Drosophila melanogaster: one gene and its partner. The protein of the gene in region 1 interacts with the protein of each later gene in a pairwise test. Each region holds a gene or a part of one and is shown in the gene's direction. Other genes may lie near its edges. The genes, in order: CG4194 and psidin.

What was found.
Region 2: the proteins of CG4194 (region 1) and psidin interact in a two-hybrid assay, tested with the Drosophila melanogaster proteins (one large-scale study listed by BioGRID).

Annotation. Positions count from the first base shown.
Region 1 is NC_004354.4:2,066,727-2,070,261, forward strand, and holds CG4194 (uncharacterized protein), read left to right. Parts: upstream 1-1,865; 5' UTR 1,866-1,880; coding exon 1,881-2,675; 3' UTR 2,676-2,962; downstream 2,963-3,535. Other genes in the region: CG4199 (uncharacterized protein), read right to left, coding at 1-1,697.
Region 2 is NT_033777.3:20,019,794-20,023,719, forward strand, and holds the start of psidin (phagocyte signaling impaired), read left to right. Parts: upstream 1-1,910; 5' UTR 1,911-2,260; coding exon 2,261-2,321; intron 2,322-2,410; coding exon 2,411-2,635; intron 2,636-3,563; coding exon 3,564-3,926. Other genes in the region: PIG-L (phosphatidylinositol glycan anchor biosynthesis class L), read right to left, coding at 555-1,089.

The DNA of each region.
Region 1 (3,535 bases):
CGGCTGGCCAAGCTTCTTTGTCCAGTCCTCACGGGTGGCCGGGTCTTCGATCTGGCCACGACCGAGGCACTTGCCCTGCGAGATTAGCTCGGCAAACTGGGCCACAATCGGATCCCGGCCGCACGAAGCCACCGCTGTCACCGTATCCGCCTCGTTGATGAAGTAGGCCACAAACTTAAAGTCCTCCATGCTGCCGTCAATGATCACATCCTTGTAAGAGCCATGCCCGGCATACCGAATTCCCTTGCCGAAGATGAGGGTGAAAAAGAAGGGCACGGCCTCCAGCTTCTTTACCCCGCCGCACATGTTGATGGCCGCCACTCGTCCATGGTATTGAGCCAGCTGGTAATGCCCGATGTTCACGCGATCGTGGGCCAGCCCGTGAATGTGGGCGTTTGCTATATCACCGCCCACATACACATCGGGTACATTGGACTCCAGGAAATCAGTGACGTCCACGGATCCGTTACGATTTACCTTCACGCCCGACTTGGCCAGAAATTGGGTGTTGAGCTTGGAGCCAGTGCCCAAGATCAGCAGATCGCAAGGCAGACGCGTGTCATCTACCAGCACCACCTCTGATACCTTGCCGTCTTCGTTGCCAACGATCTCGGCGATGCCGCTCTCCATGCGCATGACCACCTTGTTGTCCTCGAACAGCTGGAGCACCCTCTGACCAATCTCCGCGCCGAATGCGGCCTTAAGTGGGACGTTTTCACGACCCACAACCGTGACGCTTTGCACTTTGGAGACCAACCCAGCAGCTGCCTCCAAGGCGATAAAGCTCGATCCCAGACAGACGACGCGGGACTCCGGGGTGATCGATGCCAATATCGCCTTTGTATCCGCCAACTCTCGGACAGTGCGGACGTTCTCCAAGTTAACACCGGGAATAGGCGGCCGGAAGGCGGAGCAGCCTGTGGCCAGGTAGATTTTATCGTACTTCACCACGTAGCCATTGCTGCAGTGCAGCTCTTTCTGAGCGGTATCCAACTTCTCGGCGGCGACTCCTTGCCACAGTTCGATATCGTACTCTTTGTAGAACTCCTCGTCGCGGAACCGCAGCTGCTCGATCTCAAGGTTCATAGCCTTGGAGATCTTAACGCGATCGTAGGGCAGATAGTCTTCGCGGCACACAAAGATTAGGCGCCCAGTAAAGCCCTCCTGTCGGATGGTTTCCACGGCTACAGCGCCAGAAGGACCACCGCCAACCACGATGAACACTCGCTGATCGTCGGGCTTGCGTCGGACCATGTTCTTGAGTCGCTTGTTATTCACCAGATCCGATCGCTTTGCACGGAGCATCACCTGTCCCTCGTTACCCACTTCCACGCGATAACATGGCAGGGAATCGAGACCAGGAAAGTCCTCAATGTCTCCGTTTTCCAGGTTAAAGCAAGCGCCGTGCCAAGGACAGCGGACACGACCCAAACCCAAAGCTCCAGTCTGGAGCGGAGCTCCGTAATGGGTGCACTTAGCACCCACTGCTAGCAGACGATCGTTCTGCTTCACGAGCAGCACGCGGGTGTCCTCATCGAAGTCCACCTGCTTCATTTCGTTCTCCTTCAGATCCGTAACTCTGCAGTCCACGGGGACCGCACTTGTGTACTCCGAATCCGGCGAAGACTCTTCCGTCGACATGGTTGTACTGGGACTCTGGTTGCTGCACTTGGACTGGTAGGAACCCACGGCACCACCTGCCGAAGCCATCATGTAAAGAGACAAGCAAAGAGAAACGGAGATAACAATACAGATAAGAAGAGTGTGTAGGTGAATGGACACATCAAAATTTTCCAGTTTTTCTCCAAGGGTCCAAGGGAAATTCTGGCACCGCTTGCTGCTCAGGTAGAAACAACAAAAAACGAATATCAGTCGAGAAAATGCTTCGCTCGCGTTCAGAAGTCTTTGTGTGTTTGCTTATGATCCTGGGATCAGTTCTGGTCCGTTCGAATCTTGGGAATCCTCAGGAACTGGAGCTAAGTGCGCTGCGCACCCACAAACAGCTATTGCAGGCGGAGATCGCACGTCTTTTTTTAGAGCAGCCGCTTCGAGCGGAAACTCAACTTCTGCTGGAAGATCTACAGCTAAGAGATCATCAAATAGGCGTTCAGATAGAAAAGCTCGAGGAAATCTCCAAGGGCGAGACCACGCAGAGGCTGGCCATCAATCTAACGGCTGACTTTGAACACCTGCAGCATAAATTGGATGATTTGAAACGACAACTTGAGCTGCTCGACGGACGCTTTGCCTCCCAAGGGAAGCAACTGGAAGGACACTCGTCGGAAGGCGCATCGCCGGCTGGCCCCGGATTAGGTTCCTTTTTGTGGGGACCCTTGCTGACCATGCCAGAGTTTCCACAGGGCAGTGTGGCCAGCGACCAGCAACATAACCACCACCAGCAGGATCATTCCCCGGATCCGCAGCAGGATTCCAGTCCCTCTATCATTAAAAGAGTGCTGGACATGCTTAGGCCATCCATAGGAGTATCAGGTCTGCGGAGTCGTTGGACTGAATCCGCAAAATCAGCTGCAACGGGCTTGGCAACACCTAAGCCCACTCACCCACTTAGTGCTGAGGAGCTCCTACCGCAGCTGCAGGAGCAGCGCAGGTTTCTGGACGATGCTATTACGCGACTGGAGCTCTTGGCCGTCAAGAAGGGCTCGAACAAAAACTAAAATATGTGGAAAATCTAAGTAAATCAAACACTTAAATCCATCTATCCAAAAGTTGAGCTTTGAGATTAAACAGAGGATCAATATTTATTTACTTAAATTGCCAGAGATCATCATTCATAACCAGATTCGTTGAGTCACTGTCAAAAATTCAGAGAAATTATACTATACCAAATAAGTAAAGTTCGTTTCATAATGATTTGTGACCATTTCCGAAAACAATTGAACTAAAATTAGATTGAACAGTCACCTTAATGAAAAGTCTAAAGCAATAAATACTAACTATCTTTAAAACCATGATATGTAATTGTAAAATTGTGTGTGTCAGGGCACTTATTTTAAGCAACACCGAGGATAGGGTAGCAGCTGCCTAATTGCCATCGATGGTTACCTGACCACAACAAAGCGGATCCTAGCGACAAGTCCGAATCGATTGACTCATCCGACCTACTGCAATGTCACGTCAACTAGGCATACCTAAGAACCTCAAGTTGCTACGTCATCAAGAAAAGCCAGGCGGTGAGGAAAACACCTATTGTATAAAGCGTAACCGTAACACCTGTAAACGTGTGTCGGTTCTGTTCTGATATGGCGATAATGTCTACACGCCCCTATCTCAAGTGACTGGCTTTATGATGTATGGTAATATGGTATCGCTGGTATATGTATCGCCGATATGCCCATGATAGAGGAGCTGATGATTCGGCTTTTTGCGGACGGAGGCGTGCTGATCGGAAATCAAACATTTCCATCGAAGCAGCAAACATGAAAAACAGCAAGTCATGAATTACCCAGCGAAACAGATGTAGGGACAACTTTTCCATCGAGTCGGTTAACTTCGACCCTGCACTGTACATTTGCCA
Region 2 (3,926 bases), on another chromosome or scaffold:
AAAAGGATAAGGTTGTCATGTGATTGGCATAAAATAATGATGTCATTTTAAAGCACACACTTAAAACAATTTTCAATACATTGAAAGCAGTTATTTAGCGAAACTTAAATAGTAATTGATGATTAAGAAGTCATACAATTATTCCGAATCAGTACGTTATTATATTGAAAGGATTAATAGTTGATTTTTAAATGAATATCTAAATTTTAAAGAAAGAAATATACAAATCGGCCCTACATTACTATCAGCTCGGTATTATTTTTTATTATCTATAAAAAGATAACATCGGTGTAGCCCCTGAATCTTTGCAATAATTAAAATAATAACAGTAGAATGGGCAGGAATATATAACATTTAAAGATTATTAAAAATTCCAATACGGACTACATATATTGCACGAAATCGATTGTTGGCTAACACAAAGAGAATGCTGTGCCCATATGGCAGCAATAAAGCTAAGTCAGATTCGCTACTGATTTCGAAATGTGTACTTTCGTTTAATGCTTCCAGATCTATTGGTGGTTTGGGGATGATGTCACTGCTGGTGGTCTCACCGTTGGACAAGCAGAGTATATACACCTGGCAGCCTTGGCGCTGCGTCAGCGAGTAGATCAGCGGTCCGAAGAACATGCACTCGTCATCCGGATGGGCGGTGATCAGCAGGACGCGCTCCATGCACGCCGTTTTGGGCAGCCGGACGCTACGCAGCCGTATTCCGGACTGAAGGGCCTGCTTCAGGCCGCCAGGACTCCGATTGCCATCCGAACTTGGGTTCAGCTCTGCCCCCTCGCCCGACCCGGCATTGCTGGTGTCGTTGCCGTTGTGGTGGGCGTCCAGTCCCGATCCCGATCCGGCTCCCGAGAGCCAGAAGGTGAGCTTGTAGAGGCCCAGGCATACTAGCAAGTACACCGCACAGGCGATCAGTACGTGCTCCAGTGCTTCGGCGGATGATGACCTGATACGGCAGTAGATGGCCTGAGGATTGGGGACGAGCTGCTGCACCTGCTGCTGCAGTTGGCGCCACGGGGATGTCGATGCAATGCTGCTTGATATGCTGGCCACGTACTCGCTCAGCCAGTTAAATCTCATCGCTCATTGCGTCCGGCCAAGGGCAAGATTTTTGGCGAGAAATTCTTCACCAAAAATGGACATGCAGCGCAATTTGGCAGCGAGGAAAAGCGGAAAAGCGGCGATAACGGTGCTCGGGCGGTTACTTAAACTATTTCACTAAGTGGATGTGTTTCTTAATCGGTAGTTTAATACTTCAAAACGTTTGGTTACGAGCCCGCGCGCCGCCTAATCGGCTAATCTCTGCATTTTATTCGAAAACTTTACGCGTTTTCGACTTTCGGGGGCAGCAGCTAGAGATGGGCAACTGGCGTGGTGCGTGGCAGGTGCGTGACTCACGCTGACTCATTCACGATTTCTAATCAACCTGTCCGGTGCGCCGTGCAACTACAAAGCTTAAATTATCTAATTGGCACTCGAATAAATTGATAAACTCTTTTCTGCCATTCATCGTTCGCTGGCAAGCTACCATTCGTGAGAATATATCAGTCCATCTCTATCGCTCAGCTGTTGGACAAAGTGCCCAGCGGTAGGGGTACTCTTGTCACTGTTTTTATAAAATCTTAAGTTTTTTTTGAAAACTTAATCTGAAATATAAAGAATTACAGTTATGAACATTTCTACTTTTTGAAGAATATCAATACTTTGTTGATCATAGATAATAACAAAATTACTAAAAACTACTATTAGAAATTCACTTTTGTACAAGACATATTCTAACCTTAAAATTCTAAGCAGAATGATTGAATGGAATTTTAAAAGTTTCCCAATAAGAGTATCTTGATGGCTTAAATTTGTGATTTGAGCGAAGACCCCTAATGTCGGCATGCTCTTCTCGAAAAATACCAGAAAATACTGGAGAAAATACAGGGGCCGCTCTCTTCTCACCGAATATGCAGTCTGAGGTTTTTTTTATTTTGAATAAAATTTAAAGTCACTAGTTTCTATGAAAATAAGCACATAATTAGCCTACGACCGTGTGATTCGAGTGCCCGAGAGCCAGCCGCCCGTCCCCGACCGCCCAAACACCGAGGGCAACCCAAGGAGAGCCCCCAAACGATTGCAGGAAATTAATCAACGGCAGACGACAGCGTGCCGCAAAACCCAAAAGAGAGCGAGTCTCAGTTCGAGGTGCATGCAGCACGTTGTAATTAGGTTAGCAGCATACAGCAGCACCACATAACACGATAACATGGCACAGCAGCAGGGCATGGACTCGGCCCTGTTCGAGCGGCGACTGCGGCCGGTATACGGTGAGTGTGTTGTCCGTGTCCACGGCGGAATGAGGCGCTCCATGTGCCGGGTCCACAGTCTCACAGACTAACATCCCAATCCTTTGCAGACAACCTGGAGGTGGGCAACAATCGCAAGGCTCTGCAGGAATCCGAGAAGTTGCTACGCAAACATCCCAACCTGCTCTGCGCGCGGGCATTGAAAGGCCTCTCGCTCCTGCGACTGGGACGCTATGACGAAAGCCACGGATGCCTCCAGACCGTTGCCGAGGAGAAGCCCACGGACGACTCCACGCTGCAGGTGCTGTCCTTCTGCTACCGCGAAATGGAACAACGTACGTATGGGTAAACCACCGGCAGGGCTGATGTACTGAGCCCACGTGGAGCCACCGTTTGCTGGGGATTAGGTTCAGTCAAATGCAAGATTGATAACGTACTAAGCATGGTCTAGGAGGTACATTACCTCAAGTAGAAGTTATTTAGGAGTATGATATAACCAACTAGCCATAAACTCTTAAAGCACGAACCTAGTCTCTCGTTCTAACGCGATGAAGAAGGGCACCAGCCATCAGAAATAACTAATTTGTTCACAAGTAGCTCCTGATAGGCTATAAATTATTAGTTTCATTTATGAATTTGACTTGTGAAGCACACTTTTAAGTTATGAAGAACCTTTTGTAAGTTAATATCCAATTTTAAATCTAAAAACGAAATGCCTGTGTGAGGCAAGGACTCATTGTATGTATAGATAATAATTAAGGATTTAGATTTCTCCTTTCAAATGTGTAAAGGTTACAGGCATTCTAGAATTGAAATTTTATAAAAAGAATAGCTTCCTTATCCATGAGTTAAATGCTTGTATATGTATGTATATGTATATACAAAATATTTTAAAGTATAGATTTAAAGATAATATTAATATTTACTTAAGTTATTTAAATACGAAACCATGGTCGATCAAAGGATACAATTTGTTGAGCTTTTTTAAATTCGATTGACGAATACAAAGCAACATTTTTAAGTAAGAATGTTTCTTAGCCACATCTGTGAATCCCCTAGAGACGCCCCTGCTACGCACACGAAGTGGCCACAATTCATATTTTCGTATTTTCTTGGCACGCGCACCTCGCCCGACTAATTAAAATCGCATTCTCTTAGTCGGACGACGAGTGGCAAGTGCGTGCCAACGATCTGAATATATAGATACCTGTACCTGCGAAAGTTGAAATCGCTAATAATATATAAATATCGGCCTCTTTGCAGTGGACAAAATTGTGGAGCTGTACCAGCACGCTGTGAAGCAGAATCCGGGCAACGAGGAGCTCCTCGCCCACCTCTTCATCTCACATGTGAGGGTGGAGGACTACAAGGCGCAGCAGGCGGTGGCCCTGCAGCTGTACAAGGCGCAGCCGAAAAATGCCTACTACTTTTGGTCGGTGATCAGCGTAGTCTTCCAGGGAATCCGTGGACCGGAATCGGCGCTGCCCGAGAAGCGGAAAATCTACTTGGGACTGGCGCAACGCATGGTCGACAAGCACATCAAGGAGGGCAAAATGGAGACGGAACAGGAGGCCTTCCTCTATCTGCACATACTTAAGCTACAAAACAAGTACCAGGAGGCGTGGG